2 linked regions of the Oryctolagus cuniculus genome follow. The protein of the gene in region 1 purifies or fractionates together with the protein of each later gene. This does not show direct contact. Links are inferred from orthologs where the notes say so. Each region holds a gene or a part of one and is shown on either strand. Other genes may lie near its edges.

Region 1 (10,575 bases):
CACAGCCACGAAGACCCTTTTGCCAAGCCGTCACGATTTTGGGGGGCCAACTCCCCACACCCCAGCCCCCAGTCCTGCCTGGGCCCCCGTGCCTTGGGCTCCGGGAAAGAGGCTGCATTCTGGGAAAGCGTTCACAGGAATCAGGACCCTGGAGGGTGACAGGGATGGACAGCCCGGCCAGGGTCTGAGCGGGAGGCCAGCCGCGCAGCCCGGGGAAGGCGGGTCACACAGCGCCCTGGACAGAGCGCCGCTGCCCGGCCAGGCAAGCCTGGCGCTGGCCAGCACGGCAGGAATGAGGTCCCCGCCCCCAACTCCCCACCCTCGCCTCCCTCTGGGACAAAGGGTGAAATTCCGCCCAGGGGTTTACAGCCCACGACCTCAGGGCAGAAGGGATTCCCCCTGGCAGCCCTCTGCAGTGGGCTGGATCCACAAGCGAGGGAGGGGTCCCGGCAGGGACCTGGGGGAGGGTAGGCCTGGTGAGGCTGGGCTGCGGGCCTGGGGGGCAGCGGGGAGGGCATGGCCTGGCCTCTCCCCCCACACACCGGAGCTCCAGGAAGACCCGGATGCTAGGGGGGGAGAGACCGGCGCCGCCCGACTGGGCTTAGGGCTGGAGACCCCAGACTCGGGGGAAGGCCCTGGCTGCACGGCTGACTGCTGCCCCCTGCCACCCCAGACACTGCCTCTCCAACACGTATCCTGGGTTCTAACTGTGTAGCAGGAAATTGTACAGTAGCCTTGTCCCAAATACCAAAGAATACATTGTATACTAAAAAGTGGGCCCGCTCTTTGCTTTGTAAAGAAGTTTCTCTTTTCAGTGCTGTGGCCTAGCCCTTAAAGCTGCCTCCTGCAGTGCCAGTGCCGGCATCCCATATGGGTGCCCCTTCAAGTCCCGGCTGCTCCAGTTCCGATCCAGCTCTCTGCTATGGCCTGGGAAAGCAGTGGAAGATGATCCAAGTCCCTGGGCCCCTGCGCCCGTGGGGGAGACCCGGAGGAAGCTCCTGGCTTCGGATCGGTGCCGCTCCGGCCGTTGTGGCCAGTTGGAGAGTGAACCAGCAGATGGAAGACCTCTCTCTCTCTCTCTCTCTCTCTCTCTCTCTCTCTCTGTGTGTGTGTGTGTAACTCTTTCAAATGAATAAATAAATCTTAAAAAAAAAAATTGTAGCATGGCAGGTAAAGCCAGTTCCTGCAGCACGGGCATCCCATGAGGACACTGGTTCGAGTCCTGGCTCCTCCTCCGATCCAGCTCCCTTCTAACATCCCTGGGGAAGCAGCAGACGGTCGCCCAAGTCCTTGGGCCCCTGCACCCACACAGGAGACCTGGATGGAGCTCCCGGGCCATGGCAGCCATCTGGGCAGGAAACTAGTGGATACAAGATCTCTCTGGTCTCTCTGTAACTCTTTCAAAACAAATAAACCAATCTTTAAAACACAATGTTTACTTATGTATTTCATTTTACTTGAAAGAGACAGAGAAAAATCTTCCATCTGCTGCCTGCTGGGATCTGGGGGCTCCAGCCTGGTCCCCGTGAGGGCGCAGGATCTGCTTCCTTGGACTGTGTTAGGAGCGGCTGGAGCAGCAGAGCTGGGACTCGCTGGGGTGGGGGCACAGGAGACAGCGTAAGCACTGGACCAAATGCTGCTCCAAGTAACATCTCTCTTTTCTGTAATGCTATGCATTTCGTATATTCGAAGGGCAGAGCGATAGAGGTGGAGGAGGGGGAGAGAGAGAGAGAGGCAGGTAGGTCTGCCACGCTCTGGTTCACTCCCCAGATGGCTACGACACCTGAGGCTGGGCCAGGTGGAGCCCAGGAGCCGGGACTCCATCCGGGCCTCCCACTTCGGGCCAGGGCCGCCTTCTGCTGCGTCCCCAGGCCGTCAGCAGGGAGCTGGATCGGACGTGGAGCAGCCGGCACTGGCACAGATGCGGGATGTGAGCCCACTTCCAGAGAGCCTGCCCTCACCTAGCTCTTTAAAACCTGAAATTGCCTCGCACCAGCGAAGTCAGGTGACCTGGGAGCAGCTCCAGGAAGCAGAGGGCCAGGGCTGCGGAGAGTGGACCTGGGGGCTGGCCGGGGCTGGCGGGGCTGGCGGGGTGGGCAGGGCCTCCAGGGAGGAGGCCAGAAAACTGGGTCTCAGACAAAGCAGCTGCTGCCCCGGTTCTGGGAACAAAGGCCAAGGCTTCCGGGCAGCCCTGGAGTGCTCAGGGGCTCTGGGAGGGCCAGCAGGGGGCAGGAATTCCGCCCTACCCGCCATTGTTTGTGCAGCCTCCTGGCCTCATGTCCTGCACGTAGCCACTGGCTCCCTGCAGGCCTCCAGGGGCGGCTGGGACACTCCAGGCCCCTGCTCGCTGCTGCCCCTGCCAGCGGCTCCTCTGGCCTCCGCCTTCTGTCCAAGGCCCTCTGCGCAGCCTTGGGCACCCCGGGCTCCATCCACCCCTGCCTGTGGCCTCTCCTGTGTCAGCCCAGGTGCCGTCCCCAGCACAGAGCCACACGGGAGCCCCTGCCCCGGTCACTCACATCCCCCAGTGTTCCCTGGAGACTCACTGGTGCCCACACTTTCCCCCAAAGAGCAGCCCCATCTCCAGGAGCAGTCAGTCGGCCCTGGCTAACCGCGAATCCCCCTCCCGTCCCTGTGAGGTCCCGTCATTGGAGCCCCTGTGTCTGTGTCTCCACGGCATGGCCGTGGCGTCCTCGGGCCCCTCGGTTACTGCAGGAAAGGCTGTGGAAGCCGTGGGTTCTCGTCTTCACGCAAGAAAGAATTCAGGCGTGAGACAGAGAGCGGAGTGCTGAGGCTTTACTGGGGACAGGGCACCCGTCAGAACACTGGGGACAGACAGCGCGCGCGCCCAGTCGCTGGGACCGGGGGAGAGTGAGGTTCCGTGGTTGAGTGAACACACCTGGGCAGCCCAGGCGGGCGGGCGGCTCAGCAGAGAGGCAGAGGGCTCCCGAGGTGCTTAAGGAAGTCTGTTTACCCACCTCCCCTCTCCTCCAGGACAAAGGACAAAGGAGAACCCTGGTGGAAGGGTTTGTTGGGTGAAAACTAGCAAATTCCTCACCAGATTTGCTGGGGCCAGGCAAGGCAGAGGGACTTCCCTTGGGGCGTCTGAGAAGGTTTTATTGCCCCGTGTTATCAGGTCAGGTAACCCCTGTGGTCCTGAGAGAGGAGTCTCCTGGGGGAAGGGCTGGGAGTCCGAGCAGGGTCCGAGCAGGGCTTCGAAGTGCAAGGTGCTGGTCTCCAGGCTGTCCCTACACACAGAGGCTGCCTAACACCGCCACACTGTCCCGGGCCAGAGCCTCCCGGTGCATGGTATGCATGGCCCTGTTCCTGTCGATGGCCTGTGACCCCAGGGTTAAGCAGTGGCTCTGCTCTTCCAGGCACCACTTCGTGTCCCCAGCGGCAGGGTGCAAAGGCCCAGCCCGCCCTGCCCCCCGCTGGTCAGACCTGCTGACTGGCTGAGGACGCCTGTTCAGAGCCTTCGTAGACTTCGCACAGGTTTTACTGATTTATTTGAAAGGCTGAGTGACACAGAGAAATCTTCCATCCGCTGCTTCACTCCCCAGATACCTGCCACAGCCTGGGCCAGGCGGGAGCCCAATCCCGGTCTCCCGCGTGCGAGGCAGGGCCCCCGGGGACCTGGGCTGTCACACAGGGCTGATGGCAGTGGCATGGAGTGAGGGGACGCCACAGCCCAGGTCGGCGTGCCTGGGGCACACCCCGCTTCCTGCTCACCCACCACGCGGCGCCCATGCCCGGATGGAGCTCCCGGGCCCCTGCTCTGGCCCATCCTCACTCCACCCCTGCCACTTTCAAATAAATAAAATACAACTGAAACAGCAGAAAGCGAGCGCTTTCCGGGTGTACCTGCTGGCGGGGATGGGGGAACCCGTTCTCTTAGCCGAGGAAGAATCCTGAAGGCAGAGGCGTGGCCGGCCAGGCAGCAGCAGAAGGGGCAGGCAGCCCAGGGGAGGAACGGGTGGACCCGCGCCCGCCACCCACCCAGGGAAGCCAATGCCGTGCGGCTACACAGGGACCGCAGCTCATCTGCACCCAGACTGCGGACTGTGCGGCGCTCCTCCCTCCTCAGCCACAGGTGAGGGGTGCAGGAGTGACGAAGGAGGCATCCGCCCCAGGTGAGGGGTCCAAGAGTGATGGAGGAGGCACCCGCCCCAGGGGAGGGGTGCAGGAGTGATGGAGGGGGCATCCGCCCCAGGGGAGGGGTGCAGGAGTGATGGAGGAGGCATCCGCCCCAGGGGAGGGGTGCAGGAGTGACAGAGGGGGCACCCGCCCCAGGGGAGGGGTGCAGGAGTGATGGAGGAGGCATCCGCCCCAGGGGAGGGGTGCAGGAGTGACAGAGGGGGCACCCGCCCCAGGGGAGGGGTGTAGGAGTGACAGAGGGGGCATCCGCCCCAGGGGAGGGGTGCAGGAGTGACGGAGGGGGCACCCGCCCCAGGTTCCCCGGCTCAGCGCTGTCCCGCGGGGAGCCCACGCAACCCCGGGCACAGGACGGCCTCCTGTCCAGTACTGGGCCTGGGCGGGATCCCGCGGGGTAAAACTCGGGGCGCTTCCCCGACTCCTGGCCCTCCCCAGGCCGCGCTCGCACGCATGCGCCGACGCCTAACTTCCACCCCGACTCCACGGCACCTGGGCGCGCGCGCGGCCTGCGGCCCTCGTCTGGGTCGTGGGGGGTCCCAGCGCCGTCCCCAGCAGGGGTGCGGCAGGAACGTGCGCGTCTGAGCGCGCACCCTAGCCCCCGAGCCCTGCCCGGGGTCCCCGCTACGCCGCGCCGCCCCCGGGGTCCCGTGGCCCGCCCGGAGTCACGTGGCCCGCCCCGGCCTCCGCAGCCTCCGCCCGCCTGTCCGGCGCCCGCGTACGTGCGTGTGTGCGCGTGCGCGGAGCGCCCGTAGCCCCCACCACCACCACCGTGCGCGCCCCGCCCCCGGGGCACCGCCCTGCGTGCGCGCGCCCGGCACGCGCGCCCGGCCGGTCTTATAGGGGCCGTAGCCGGCAGCGGGCACGGCGCTCGGTGGACGGCGGACGGCGGGGACATGGCGGCTGTGCTGTTCGCGCTGCTGGCGCTCGCGCTGCTGCGCGCCGGGGGCGCCTCTGCGGCAGGTGGGCGCCGCTCGGGGGCTGCGGGCGGGGGCTACGAGCCGGGGCGGGGGGGCTACGAGCCGCCGCCGCCCCGGGGGTCCCGGCCCGGGCCCTCGTCGGGAGGGCGGCCACCCTGCAGAGCAGGGCCCCGGGTCTCGGGGGCCGCCGTCCCCCTCCACGGTGCACGCGGCCGGGGCTGACCCCCGCGTGGGACGCCGCTCGTGGCCCTCGGCTGCAGTCCGCGGCCGCTGCCCGGGCAGGCTGGGCCCCGGGATTATCATTCCTGCGGGGATTTGGCCGGCGGCGCGCCCGCGTTTGCGGGGTCTGCGCGGGCGTGCGGGCCCCCTCCTCCTCTGCCTGTTGGGGGTGGGTCTCCAAGGTCACCGCGAGGTCGCCCAGGCCGCTGGGGGGAGCCCCGCGTGGAGCCCCAGGGCCCGGCCGGGAGCTCCCGGGCCGCTGCTGACCCACTTCGGCGGCTTCCTCTTCCCGGTCCCCGGCCTCGACCGAGCGCGGGGGGCGCGAGGGAGCCCCAGGCGGCGCCGGGTTTCCTGCGGGGCCCCCGCGGAGCGCGCTCTGGCCCTGCCGGGCTTAGTCGACCGTACCCCGGGGCCGGGGGCCGTGCGGGATCTCAGCCCTGCGCGGAGCGGCGGTGTGCGTGGGCGCACGGTGCGTGGTGGGGTGTTGCTTCCGACTTGGCTCCCGGGCGCCTTATATGGGTGTTCGGGTCTTGCCCGTGCACGCTTCTGCTCTCTGTGCGGGGCCTGGCCGCGCTGGGTTGGCCACCTCCTGTCCCCCCGGGTCGGGGCCTGGCCAGCTCTGTTCTCCAGGCGCACAGCCGCGGGCCCCCGCGGGGGTTAGCCCAGGAGGGCCGCACTCTGGCCCGCCCCGAGCAAACGCTTAACCTCTGGCCTCCGGGGGAGGCTTGGCTGAGGGTGGGGCGGCAGAGGCGAGGCCCCCAGCGGGTGGGGCCCTTCCCTCCCGAGCGGCCCCGCCTTAGGCTGGGCTTGTTTACCGAGGCCGCGCCTGGCCCCCTGCCCGCCTGGCCGCTCTCTAGTGAAGGTGACTTGAACCTGAGTTGCAGATCACGTGGGCCGAGTGGAGCTGTGGCTTTTCTGAGACTGACCCTGGGGCTGGATGTGGCGTGGACTGGGGCGGCCAGGGGCCTCACCCCAGGGAGCTGGGCCACCAGTGTCCCCCTGACGTCCAGCTGCTCTTGTCGGAGGCTGCGTCTGTCCCTTGGGGAGCGCCAGGTGGTGCAGACCTGTGGAGGGGCGGCCGGTTCCCCACCTTGGACACCGGGGCTGGGACAGCTGCGGCCAGGCTAGTACGGCCTCTCCCGGTACCTGCAGGCGGCCGGGGTGTTCGGGGGGCACCTCGGCTTCACTTCCTGCCTGACTCAGCTCTGCCAGGGCTGTGGGATTTGCAGCTAGGGGTCCTTCTGCTGGAGGCCACCTGGGCTGGTCCAGCGGCCTCCAGGCGGGCCAGGGAGGCAGGTGCCTCGTCCCCAGGGCACCTGGGGCCGGAGCGTCAGGACCCAGGGGAGGGTGGACGGGAGCCCCTGCCCGCCCCTGTCCGCCTAGGCAGTGTCCAGGACCCTCTGTTGTGTTCAAATAAGGAAGCCGATGATGGCCCGGGTGTCCGTGCCAAGAGGGCCCTGCGCCCCTCACTGTCCCCACAGCTGCCTTGTTCGCAGAGCCCAGCGCCCGTCCCGTGACCTTAGGGGCTCAGCCCTAGCTGGACATGCGTGTGCTCCCCCTGCCCTGCCTTCCGTGGGGGCAGCCCGCTCCTGTTCTGCCGTGGGGGCCTCACGCTCTCGCCCTCTCCCCGTAGCTGGCTTTGTGCGGCCCCCACTGTCGCAGGAGGGGCGGGCGGGGGGCAGCGTGGAGCTGCACTGTGAGGCCGTGGGCCGCCCGGTCCCCGAGATCCAGTGGTGGTTTGAAGGGGACGGCCCCGGCGACGGCAGCTCCCAGCTCTGGGACGGCGCCCGGCAGGGCCGCGTGCACATCCACGCTGCCTACCGCGAGCACGCGGCCAGCACCGTGTCCATCGCCCAGCTCAGCGCCGAGGACGCGGGCACCTACGAGTGCCGGGCCAGCAACGACCCCGACCGCAACCACCTGACCCGGCCGCCCAGGGTCAAGTGGGTCCGTGCCCAGGCCAGCCTGGCGGTCCTGGAACGTGAGTGGCAGAGACCTGCCTCAGTGTCCCTCTTGTGCCATCGGCTCCCACCCAGTAGAGCCCAGGCCCTCTCCTGCCCGGTTCTGTCCCTCCCACCCACCTGAGCAGTCTCTGGCCTGGATGCGGGTGGGCCCCTCGCCCCCGTCCTGTCCGCCCATGCGTCCATCGCTCCGACCCGCTCCATCCGTGCTCCCTCCCTCCGTGGGCGCCTGTCTGGCTCTTGTCCTGGTCGGTGGGGCTGGGTCTGCTCCCTGGGTCAGCCCAGGTTCAAGGCTCTCCGGACCTCCCATGGGAACGTGCTCAGCTGACCGTGAGGCCGCTGTGTCGAGCCTGGGGTAGAGCGGGGCGGGGCGGGAGGTGTGGGCGTGCTGCAGGGCTGCTCCTAGCCTAGCCTAGCCGGGAGCTGATGCCTGGGCCACACCCCCGTGCACAAGGGCCCTCCGGAGGGCACCCTCTGAGCCAGGCCTCGGCGTGGCGGAGGGCCGACCCCTCCTCTCCTGCCCCTTGCTGACCTCTCGCCGTGGTCTCCCAGCGGGCACCGTGACGACTTCTGTGCAGAGCGGGGATTCCTGGGTGCAGCTCACCTGTACCTTGAACACCAGCGCCGCGGGCGTCACTGGGCACCGCTGGCTGAAAGGGAAGGAAGTGGTGAAGGAGGACCAGCTGCAGGGCCTGCACACCGAGCACAAGTGAGTGCGGGGGCCGGGGCCGGGGCCGCCCAGGCGGACCCTCCTCCTCCCTCCCGGGGGCTGGGGCAGGGGGCAGGGGGCCGGGTCTCAGCCCGGACCCTCCTCCTCCCTCCCGGGGGCTGGGGCAGGGGGCCGGGTCTCAGCCCGGACCCTCCTCCTCCCTCCCGGGGGCTGGGGCAGGGGGCCGGGTCTCAGCCCGGACCCTCCTCCTCCCTCCCGGGGGCTGGGGCAGGGGGCCAGGTCTCAGCCCGGACCCTCCTCCGGGGGGCAGCCCGGGGTCCTGCACGAGCCCCTCCACGGGCCCAGGCTCACAGCCGCTTGTCTTGTCGCAGCGTGACCGGGGACGACAGGTTTGGCAAGTACTCCTGCCTCTTCCTCCCCAAGGACACGGGCGAGGCCACGCTGACCGTGGACGGTGAGCGGGGGTCATGCTGGGGGCCTCGGGTGGGGCTCCTGCCGCGCCTGGGGTGCGAGGCTCCCTCTGGCTCCCCCCAGGGCCCCCCAGAATTAAGGCTGTGAAGAAGTCGGAGCACGCCAACGAGGGCGACTCGGTCACCCTGCTGTGCAAGTCGGAGTCCTTCCCCTTCGTGACCGCCTGGGTCTGGTACAAGGTGGCCGACTCCGGGGACCAGGTGAGGGCGCGGGGCAGGCCAGGGGGCGGTGGGGGGCCCACGGGGCGCCCTGTGGGGCCGGCCTCAGCCTCCCCCTGCCTCCTGCCCCCAGGTCATCCAGAACGGCTCCCAGAGCAGGTTCTTCATCAGCCACTCGGAGGCCCAGTCGGAGCTGCACATCAAGGACCTGGACCTGACCTCCGACCCCGGCGAGTACGCCTGCAACGGCACCAGCCTGCAGGGCACGGACGCGGCGGTGGTCACCCTGCGCGTGCGCAGCCGCCTGGCCGCCCTCTGGCCCTTCCTGGGCATCGTGGCCGAGGTGCTGGTGCTGGTCACCGTCATCTTCATCTACGAGAAGCGGCGGAAGCCGGATGAGGTGCTGGACGGTGAGTGACCCCCAGGGGGCGCCACGCCCGCGGCTCAGGCCCAGCCGCCCCTCAACTGCTCTGCAGGGCCTGGGTGTGCCCAGGAGAGGGAGGGGGTGGGGACGGGGAAGGGGGGGCAGCACTGACCCCTGACCCTGCCCTTCTCTTCCACGTGGCTGTGGTGCTCAGACGAGGACGCCGGTGCCGCGCCACTGTGAGTCCCGCTGTGGGGGGGGCACGCTGCAGGCTCCCTGTCCTCAGAGCTCAGCTGGGCCCTGTGGGAGTTGGGGGGGGGGGGCTTTGGCCACTCAGGGGGCCAGGCTGCAGGCCCTGTGGGGGTTGGGGGGGGCTTTGGCCACATGGGGGGCCAGGCTGCAGGCTCCCTGTCGTCAGAGCTCAGCTGGGCCCTGTGGGAGTTGGGGGGGGGCTTTGGCCACTCAGGGGGCCCAGGCTGCAGGCCCTGTGGGAGTTGGGGGGGGGGCTTTGGCCACTCAGGGGGCCCAGGCTGCAGGCCCTGTGGGGGTTGGGGGGGGCTTTGGCCACATGGGGGACCAGGCTGCAGGCTCCCTGTCGTCAGAGCTCAGCTGGGCCCTGTGTCTCCAGGAAAAGCAGCGGGCACCACGTGAATGACGACAAGGGCAAGAATGTCCGACAGAGGAACGCCAGCTGAGCCGGCCGCTCCGGGTTGGGGTGCAGCTGCGAGGAGCTGAGCCCTGCCCACCAAGGCTCCGCCCAGGGCTGGAGGCCACACCCCTACACCTGCCTGCTCCAAGGCTCCGCCCAGGGCTGAAGGCCACACCCTTACACCTGCCCTCCAGGCCCCTTGTGGGGGGGGGGACCCTGCCCTTTGAGGAAGGTCACAGGAGGCCCGGCCTCCAGCCTGTCTGGCCACGCCCTGCGCTTCCATTTTTATTCCTGGCTTCTGAGGGCACAGGACAGCTGTGGGGCCTCAGCTGCCCGCAGGGTGGCAGCCTCGTCCCCCAATAAAGACTGACCCCACCCGTGCACTGTGGCTTTGTCTGCCCCCAGCTGCCCCAGGCTGTGGGGGTTGGGGATCCCAGGCTGGGGCGGGTAGGAGGACTGTGTTGGGCCCTCTGGTCCCTGGAGGGAGGGACAGTGACCACCCTTGGAGCCCAGGCCCCCCACTCCTGCTGGGGATGGTGGGGGACTTCCTGCCAGGCTCAGACCCCTCCCCCACTCCCACACATGGGAGGAACTTCCTGCCAAGCACAGACGCCCCCCACACACGGGGTGGATTTCCTGCCCGGTGCTGGCCCCCCAACAGGCTTCCTGGACACGTGGCTGTGGCGCTCTGAGACCTGGTGCCCCCGAGTCCCCTGCAGGGGCCACCGGCTGGGCCGGGGCAAGCGTCCACTTCGGCCCTGAAGGGTACTGTGGGTCCCCAGGACCAGGGGGCCCGCCGCAGCTGCACAGATGCTGGAGGGAACTTGGGGAGCAGGGACTTGGGGTGAAGTTTGGCTGCGGTGGGGGCGGTGATGTGGGGCCTCGGGCCCTCAGCCAGCCTCTGCACCTGTCCCTTGGCTGGCCAGCCCCTCCCAAGTTCACTGGGAAGCCGGAGATCGGGTCAGACAGGGATAGGAGTTCTCCGTGTTGGAGGGATGCCACGCAGGCTGAGGG
Region 2 (9,891 bases), on another chromosome or scaffold:
ATCTTAAAAAAAACACAAACAGTTGTGGTGGGGCAGGCATTGTAGTACAGTTACACTGCTCCTTGTGATTCTGAGTGCTGATTCAAATCTCATGTCTGAGTGCTGATTCAAATCCCAGCTACTCAGCTTCTGGTCCAACTTCCTGGTAATGTGCCTGGGGAGGCAGCAGAAGATAGCTCAAGTACATTGGCCTTTGCCACTCATGGAAGATCAGGATGACAGTCCTGGCTTCTGGCTTTGGCCTTGCCTATCACTGGCTATTGTGAGCATTTGGGGAGTGAATTAGCAGATGTAATGATACGTATCTCTCTTTCCTGTTCCTCCAACAGCCCCCCCCCTTTAACATTTTTATTTGAAAGGCAAAGTTGCAGAGAGAGAGGGAAAGACAGACTGAGAGAGAGGTATTCCATCTGCTGTTTTAGTCCCCAAATGGTTGCAATGGCTAGGGCTGGGCCAGGCTGAACCCAGGAGCCAGGAACTTCATCTAAGTCTCCCTCGTGGGTATAGGTGCCCAAGCACTAGAACCTCTTCCATTGCTTTCCCAGAGCATTAGCAGGGAACTGGATTGGAAATGGAGCTGCCAGGACACAAAGTGGTGCCCTTATGGGATTCTGGCATTGCAGATGGTGGCTTTGCCTGCTATACCACAATGCCGGTCCCTCAGCCTTTCAAATAAATAAATCTTAAAAAACAACAAGTTGTGGTATGCTATGTAAATAAAGTTTCATTTTAATAATTACCCTTTTGATAGTTTAGGAATTTTTATACCAATAATTTGTTTCTGGTGAAGTCTGAATTGCTTATTTCAGTGTAATTTGTCACTTTTAGCTTGTGCTCTTATATTACCTTGAAATAGCATGGAGCAAGCAGGTAAAGTGGTGCAGCAATCTACTGAGAGAAACTGCTAAAATCCTTATCATAGGCAACAACTTATTTTAAAGAGTTTGGATGTAAACCTAGTAACCAAATGGAACGATGTTTTCTTTACTCTAAAATGCTAGACTACAAAGCTGATTGTCTCTGAGTTTCTATCCTTTAAACTTGTCTGAATAGGATCATTTGTCTACTGTGTTGGAAAGTAAATTATATCAAATTAAGATAGAAAAAACACCATTTTTGAGTTGTATCACATTGGTCCACTTGGAACTGTTGTCATACTTATTTGAATATAAGAGACATGGCCTCCTCTTTAAAAGACATTTATCCCTGCTTCCCCTTCTATCATAGCTTTCCATGGAATCACTTCAATCTGTTGATGTTCTCCGAGAAGAAGTTTGTGAGATCTTGGATGAAATGAGCCACAAACTGCGTCTGGGAGCCATACGGTTTTTTGCTTTTGCCCTGAGCAAAATATTTAAACAAATTTTCTCAAAGGTGTGTGTAAATGAAGAAGGTATTCAAAAAGTGAGTATTGATTGTTTAAAACCAATATCTTCTTAAACCCCGCATGATTTAGTCGACTCACAAATGTCTGCCTTGGCCAGTAAATGCCAGGGGCCTAGTCATCACGGATCCCCTCTGAACAGATAGGATATGCCTCTCTGAGGGTTGGTTTGTTTTTTCTTTATAAGTTCAGACTTTGCACTAACTTAACTTTATGGCCTAACTTATGTCAGATGCTCACAAAAATTACAAAAGTAATACAGAGAATTTATATGCTTAATTTAGATTCCCCAAAAATATTTCCTTTATCCTTTTCCCAATACTTTTGTATGTTTTCTTATAGATAAGGATATTCTTTTATGCTGCAATAATAAAATAAATTGATATTGCTGCAGTACTAGTAATACAAACTTCATTCATACTTTGGCAGTTGTCCCAATTATATCCTGCATAGATGAGAAAGTCCTCGATCATGCGTTACATTCAGCATCTCTATCTCTTTAAACTCTTAATTTAGAACAATTCCTTAGTCTTTTTGTTTGTGTTTCATTATTTTTTTTTTTAATTTATTTTATTTGTTTGAAAAGTAGGGTTACAGAGAGAGGGAGAGATAGAGATCATCCATCTTCTGGTTTACTCCTCAAATGGCCACAACAGCCAGAGCTGGGCCAGGCCGAAGTTGGTAGCCTCCTCTGGGTCTCCCGTTTGGGTACAGGGGCCCAAGGACTTCTGCTGCTTTCCCAGGTGCACCAGCAGGGAGCTGGATCAGAAGTGGAGCAGCCAGGACTTGAATTGGCACACATATGGGATTCCAGCTTCGCAAGTGGTGACCCAACCTGCTACGCCACAGTGCCAGCCCCATGATACTTGTTTTTTAAAAAACAAGCCAACTATTTCATAGTGTCCCCTGATTTGGATTTATGTTACCTCTGCATTAGATTGTGAATCTAATGTGAAGCAATGTTGTAGTCTTCTCAATGCATCGTATTGAGAGCACATGGTGTCTGTCCTATTACTGAAGGTGCTCATTTCATCATTAATCCATAAAACTTACATTTTTAATATTCTTGCAATATGTGAAAGTGTTTAACTAGAACTCTGAAATAATGTTTTTACCTTCTCAGCCAATTAAGTTTGTGTATGATATGTAAGGTGATAAAGATGATTATTATTCCCTTTGTACATAGAGTTGTTCTGTTTTCTTATTTGAAATGTGATCTTAATAACACAACTGAAATTATTTAAAGTCTAAAATTTATTTTCAAGCTACAACGAGCCATCCAGGAGCATCCTGTTGTCTTGCTGCCTAGTCATCGAAGTTATATTGACTTTCTCATGTTGTCATTTCTTTTATACAACTATGATTTGCCTGTGCCAGTTATAGCAGCGGGAATGGGTACGTAGCTTTTCTACTTTTGTACTATGATAAATGTGTGGGTATTGTATATAAAAATAAAAATAAAATGATTCTACTGATACTGATGTCTGTGAAGATTATGATGATGAAAATAGACTCTCCTTCTTCCTTCCAATCCTAGGGTTTAACAGTTTGAATTATGTGCTTTTGTGTGGTATTTTACTTTGCACAGATATATAAAGGCATATAGGCACCAGGGTTTTTTGGTTTCGGTTTAAAAAATGAAACTTCCTGTATGTGTTACCTACTTTTTTTATTTTATATTACATTGATGAATATCTGTAGATCAATAAATAGATGTAACTATTTTTTTAAATGGTAAAATAAAGAATTTAGCAAATGCACATAATAAAAATTTACATTTTAACTATCTGTGAGTGTGCAGTTCATTGGCATAAAGTACATTCATATTGTTGGACTGTCATTACCACCACCCATTCACAAAACTTATCATCTTGAAAAATTGAAACTCTGGACCATTAAACAGCAACTCCTCATTCTACCTTCCCTGTCCCCAGGCAACCACCTTTCTACTTTCTGTTTGTGGATTTGGCTATTCTATACTTCGTATAAGTGAACTCACAAAATATTTGTCCTTTTGTGACTGGTGTTGACTCAGCATAATGCTCTCAAGTCCGTCCATGCTGCAGCATGTGTCAGGATTTCTTTTTAAAAAGTTGAATAATCCATTACATGAATATGCCACCTTCTTTTTCCATTCATCAGTAGACTGTTGGGTTGCTTTTGCTTTTTGGCTATTGCAAATAACACTGCTTGGAGCATGAAAGTACACGTATCTGTTTAAGATCCTACTTTCAAATATCCTACTTTCAAATGGATACCAAGGGATAGAATTGCTTTATCACATATTTAATTTTTAATTTTTTGAGGAACTACCATACTGTGGTGGTGGTACCATTGTATGTTCCCATCAACAATATATAAGAGTTCCATTTTTATTTTAAAAGTTTCAATTTTACATGTTTGCCAACACTTGCTTTTTGGATTTTTAAAAACAATAACCATTCTAATGGGTATGAAGTGCTATTTTATTGAAGTTTTTATTTTCATTTCCCTGATGATTAGTGTTATTGATTATCTTTTCAGTGAGCTTATTGACCATTTGTATACCTTTTTTAGAGAAAAGTCTGTTCAAGTCCATTGCCCATTTTTTAATTGGGTTATTTGATTTCTTGTTACTGTTGAATTGTAGGAACTCTTTATATACTCCTATTCTGGATATTTACCCCTTATGATATGCAAATATTGTCTCTCATTCCTTTGGTTCCTTTTCAATCTGTTGATTGTGTCCTTTGATACGCAGAAGATTTTAACCATGAGGCAAGCCCAGTTTATTTGTTCTTTTGTTCCTTTTGCTTTTGATATAAAAGCCAAGAAACTCTTGTGAAATAAGTGAAATAAGCCAGATACAGAAAGACAAATATATGTCTTTCTCATTTGTGGAAGGTGACATATATAAACTATGATAAATGTGTGGGTATTGTATTATTTGGTACATAGATAGTCGCAAATATTGTCTTCACTTAATTATATCCTCCACATAATAATATACCCTTCTTTTTTCACTTTATGATTATTGTCATAAATCCCATGTTAAATGATAAAATATTTGTTTTCATGTAAACGTAGTAAGTGAATATGGCAAAATGTGAAAAATTGTTAAATCTTATAAATTAATTAATGAAATGAAAATTAAAAACAATTGTTGCCAAATCCAATGTCAAGAAATTTTTCCCTTTTTTCTTCTAAGCATTTTATAATTGTAGATCTTACATTTAGAATTGCATAATATTTAGCAATCTGAATGTATCATACTTTAGTGGTTTTGCTATTATAAACAGTGTTTTAATGCTTTTATTTCTGTAGGATTGATTCCTACAAGTTGAACTGCTAAGGCAAATAAATTAACAATTCACTTTTAAGGTAGCCAGGAAGGTTAGGATTCAAGTATACATTTTGGTTAATAAATGAAGTAAATAGGAAGGTAAAAAATTGTGGGAGACTTAAGCACTTTCGTCTGAATATACAAGAAAAGAATTTATTTGAAAAGTAAGGAAAAACAGAAGGGCTGTTTTTAAACAGCAATGGTGCTCTTACCTTCATTTCAGACTTGCTTTATATAATCTCTTCCACCAAAAGTAGGTTGATATTTTTATCTGATGTGAGGAAGGTGAGAACTGGTTTGGCCTGCCTCTCAAAGGCGTGAAAGATACACATTGGTCTGTAACGCAGCTCAGCAACAGGGCTAAGAAATTGGCAGCATGACATTGTAAGTTGTCACATTGCCCTACTATTGTCCTTGCTCTCTAGCCAGCTTGGTTGTAAAGGCAATGGTACATGGTGGCACAAGGCAAGCTCCCAATGATCACCTGGCCCACAGAGTCCCTTCTTTTCCATAATTCTGTTAAATGTATCTTCTTATGGATTTTAATATTAGAAAGTATAATATCATAAGGATATATCAGATACATAAATCATAACAGTGTTTGAGTGTAGGTCTTTATAGAAAGTTTCAAGATCTGCAAATAAATGTCAATCCTTCCTTTATTTTCTAGACTTCCTGGGAATGAAAATGATTGGTGAGCTATTGAGGATGTCAGGTGCCTTCTTCATGCGGCGCACCTTTGGTGGCAATAAACTCTACTGGGCTGTATTCTCTGAATATGTAAAAACTATGTTACGGGTAAATGCAAATAACTACCAAGTAAATATTTTCTCTTCGCTGATATTTGCTCTAAGTTCTTAACTTCTGGATAGGCCACTTAGCTATTCCCCTCCTCCTCCCAAAGAATGTTCAGAACCTCAGTGATCTGTTTAGTTTCTGTGACTCTCTTATTTAAGTTTCACTATAAGCAGTGTTTGTTCAGAGGGGTGGGGAGGGAGTTGGGGAAAGGGAGTCAAAAGAAGAATTTATCATTTGGAGAGTAGGCAATGGGTTTTGTGTTTTTTGTTTTGTTTGTTTGTGTTTTCTCTTTAAAGAATGGTTATGCTCCTGTTGAATTTTTCCTCGAAGGGACAAGAAGCCGCTCTGCCAAAACATTGACTCCTAAATTTGGTAGGTCACTGACAGATGAGAAATTACAACCCCAAAGACTTTAGGTGTAGTATAAGTATATCTGCTGAATAGAAATTGACACTGTATGGCTATAGAAATTATTTAATTTCTAAGTGTGTTTAACTGTTTATATTCATGGCTTAGTGTAAATGTACACTTTAGTCCTGTTTGTATACTCTTGTGTACTGTGCTCCTCAATATATATAAAACATTTCTCTCCATGTTTAAAGGTCTTCTGAGTATTGTGATGGAACCATTTTTCAAAAGAGAAGTTTTTGATACCTACCTTGTTCCAATTAGCATCAGTTATGATAAGATATTAGAAGAAACTCTTTATGCATATGAGCTTCTAGGGGTTCCTAAGCCAAAAGAATCTACAACTGTACGTAAAACATAACCAAACTTGATTTTATGTGAATTTAGAAAATGTGCTAACTTACACATCAACTACTTTCTGAATTTACTCTGTTTTTTGTTCTTCTCCCTTATTGTGTTACTATGTTAGGGACTCTTGAAAGCCAGAAGGATTCTGTCTGAGAATTTTGGAAGCATCTATGTGTACTTTGGGGACCCTGTGTCACTTCGATCTCTGGCCTCTGGGAGGATGAGTAGGAGCCCATATAACTTGGTTCCAAGGTACAAGGCCTATGTTTTAATATCTGATGCAGCAGGAAGGACTAAAATCTAAACGTATGAATTGTTATTTTTCCGTTGACCACTTCTAAGACTGAAACTTGGTTTCCTTAGATCATATAGCAAATTATCACGGAAGCATTGTCATTCCATTTTCATCCATGGAAAGCTTCAATTAAAAAAGAATTATGTGTTTGCCAGAAAAAATGGCTAGCTGTGGAGATATGTATGTCAAATGTAGGAAGTGAGACAATGATTGTTCTTTAGGACACTAACTTGAGGGAAGAATAATGCTGTTATTAACAAGTATATGTATGAGTATTGTTGAGCCATATTGCTAGGCCAGCCAAACTATGTACTAAGTATTATTTTTGATCCTAGAAAAGATTACATAACAATGCATGTGAGTCCCTCTTCTCAATAAGATTATGGTTTTATGGACAAGAAAATGTATTAGGTTCTTTCAGAATGTAAGTATAGATACACATTTGGGCTTTCTTAATTTAGAGACGTACTCCTGGAGAAGTAGGGAAAACAAACCATGTACCTAGTTAGGCCTTATTTGACTGTAGCATTGTTCCCTGTAGTATCAGCACAGATCTAAAAGACCTCACCAGGAGGTGTATTTGTCTTCTCAGAAGCAGGTGTTAGCTTTTTGCTCTCATAGGCTTTTTCTCTGTAGATCTCAAATTGGGTTGGCCACTCTTACTGGCTACAACTTTCACGTTAAGCCACCTTATTATGTGGCTGCTTTTAGGTCACATGTGTCTCCCTGCTCCAGCTAACTCTGTGTAGGCCTTGTCAGATACTTCACAGTTTGGTGAACCATGCCTGAAGAAGCTGTTAGAAGAGGAGCACAGTAGTGCTTGACATGTGCTCTGATGCTTTGCAGGGTAGGGCAGCATGATGGCTCAAAGTGTTGGATTCTGGAAAGATGGCAGTTCATCCTACTGGGGAAGTATTAGTTTTCTGAGATGGTTTCTATTATAAAGCAATATAGTTTTTTTTTTTTTTTTTGGTCTGGAACTGGGAATTAATAGGATCCTATTTCCTTGAATAATTTAATATTTCCTCAACAGCATACCCTAGAGATATATGCTTACAGGTGACCTGAAAGAATTCAGTTGTCAGAAAGTATTTGGCTTCTAAAGGCCTGTCTTCTCCTATTGTACTTCTCATTTCCAGTTGTCTAAGAAGCGGATCTGTAATTTGATGTTGTGTGTTCTTCATTTTAGGTATATTCCTCAGAAGCAATCCGAGGACATGCATGCCTTTGTCACTGAAGTTGCCTACAAAATGCAGCTTCTGCAAATTGAAAACCTAGTTCTGAGCCCATGGCCCCTAATAGTTGCTGTTCTGCTTCAGAACCGGCCATCCATGGACTTTGATGCTCTGTTAGAAAAGACTTTATGGCTGAAAGGCTTAACCCAGGCATTTGGAGGATTTCTTATTTGGCCTGGTAAGTTGGTGAGACATACATGTAGAGAATGCCCACTTTTAAAAAAAATGTCTCGATTTTAAAAAAGTTAGCCTATATAGGTTGAGAAACCTATATAGGACTTTAAGCAGAGCCTTGCTCAGAGAAAGAAAAAAACAATTCGTTTTCATCACTTGGGTGGTATATTGAACACACCATGTTGATTGTTGAAAGTAATTGTGCACATGACCAGACCCGCTTTTCAGTTCTAAATAGATGGAAGGTTAGAATGTTGTCTCCTTGGCACCTACCAGAGTGGAGGATGAAGACACAGATCTTTGGCATTCTCATAACTCCTTCCATCCCCACCCACCTCTTTTAAACTGTGCTGATTAGCTCCCTGTTTGCCTCCCTGGATTATAAGTATTAAAAGGTTAGTCTTGTAGAACTTAGTGTAATTCTCAGATATCAACTTGATAGAAACCTCATTGGAATTTAAATACTATACTTTAATGTGGGGCATATATGACAATAGTTAGCTAAAGTTGTTTTCAGTCTCTGATTTAAAATTGTACACATTGGGCCAGCGCCGTGGCTCACTTGGTTAATCCTCTGCCTGCAGTGCCGGCATCCCATATAGGCCGGGTTCTAGTCCTGGTTGCTCCTCTTCCAGTCCAGCTCTCTGCTGTGGCCTGGGAGGGCAGTGGAGGATGGCCCAAGTGCTTGGGCCCTGCACCCGCATGGGAGACCAGGAGAAGCACCTGGCTCCTGGCTTTGGATCAGCATAGCACCAGTCATAGCGGCCATTTTGGGGGGTGAACCAACAGAAGGAAGACCTTTCTCTCTGTCTTTCTCTTTCACTGTCTAACTCTATCTGTCAAATAAATAAAAAATAAAAATTGTACACATTACAGTTGGAAGTGTAATTCTTTTAAGGTAATTATTTATAGTCAGGTTCCTTCTGCTCACTCATCAAGCAGGAATGCCAGGTCAGCGCTTGGTACTTCCAGGGATTCAGAAATGAACAGATGAGAGTCCTGTCCTGGAGGTTCTCCTGGTTTGTAGAGGGCAGTGGCGGGTGGGTAATGTGTAAACCAGTTGTAGGGGCTTAGTGAAATACAAACAAGGGGCTGTGGACACACTGCAGAGGATTCCTGAAATAACTGTGTAATTTCATGCTCGGGAAGATTTCATTGAAATGGTAACTTTTGAACTGATATTAATGGAAAGATAAAAGCTTGTCAGGAAAATGAGAGAGCCTTGCCTTGGTCATATAGGGATTAGGAAATGTGAGATCATAGGGTTTGTAGCCTGTATGTGGCAAGGGCATGATAGAATACTGGCTGTAGGTAAGGGACACAAGATAAGTATGTGGCTGTGGTTAGATTGTGTAGGCCTGCAGACCTTTGGGATCTAAAATCTGTAGTTTATAAGAAGCAATAATGGATTTTTTTAAAGATTTATTTTATTTGAAAGAATTAGGTTGAGACAGAGAGATCTTCCATCTGCTCGTTTATTCCCCAAATGGCCACAACAGCCTTAGCTGAGCCAATCCGAAGCCAGGAGCCAAGAGCTTTTTCCATGTCTCCCACTTGGGTACAGGAGCCTGAGGACTTAGGCCATCCTCTGCTGCTTTCCCAGGCAAAGTAGCAGGGAGCTGGATTAGAAGTGGAGCAGCCAGACTCAAACTAGTGCCCATATGGGATGCCGGTGCTATAGACTGGAACTCTAACCTACTGTGCCACTTCGCACCCCACCGTAATAGATTTTAAGCAGAGAACCATGACACATTGGTTTTTATAAAATAACCATTATCAGTTTTAAAGAGAGAACTCAGTGACTGAATGTGGGACTCAAGGAAGAGATGTTTAGGAGGAACTACTAACAGAAGTGCCAGTGAATCACAAGGCTGTCACCAACAGGGAAAGAAAGAGGAGTCAGACATTTGTCCTCAGTATGGTGCTG

Evidence for each region.
Region 2: the proteins of BSG (region 1) and GNPAT purify together in Homo sapiens (affinity purification with mass spectrometry; 3 studies listed by BioGRID and IntAct, counting the BioPlex papers as one, with this or other methods). This does not show direct contact. The link is inferred for Oryctolagus cuniculus from reciprocal best matches to the Homo sapiens genes BSG and GNPAT.

Annotation. Positions count from the first base shown.
Region 1 is NC_091447.1:58,336,994-58,347,568, forward strand, and holds BSG (basigin precursor), read left to right. Parts: upstream 1-5,032; 5' UTR 5,033-5,045; coding exon 5,046-5,112; intron 5,113-6,921; coding exon of another isoform or gene 6,922-7,269; intron 7,270-7,801; coding exon 7,802-7,958; intron 7,959-8,290; coding exon 8,291-8,373; intron 8,374-8,453; coding exon 8,454-8,590; intron 8,591-8,681; coding exon 8,682-8,958; intron 8,959-9,126; coding exon 9,127-9,151; intron 9,152-9,540; coding exon 9,541-9,607; 3' UTR 9,608-9,941; downstream 9,942-10,575.
Region 2 is NC_091444.1:50,820,362-50,830,252, forward strand, and holds part of GNPAT (dihydroxyacetone phosphate acyltransferase), read left to right. Parts: intron 1-1,227; coding exon 1,228-1,404; intron 1,405-2,649; coding exon 2,650-2,779; intron 2,780-5,376; coding exon 5,377-5,504; intron 5,505-5,800; coding exon 5,801-5,876; intron 5,877-6,106; coding exon 6,107-6,258; intron 6,259-6,381; coding exon 6,382-6,512; intron 6,513-7,744; coding exon 7,745-7,968; intron 7,969-9,891. UniProt on the Homo sapiens protein: Dihydroxyacetonephosphate acyltransferase catalyzing the first step in the biosynthesis of plasmalogens, a subset of phospholipids that differ from other glycerolipids by having an alkyl chain attached through a vinyl ether linkage at the sn-1 position of the glycerol backbone, and which unique physical properties have an impact on various aspects of cell signaling and membrane biology.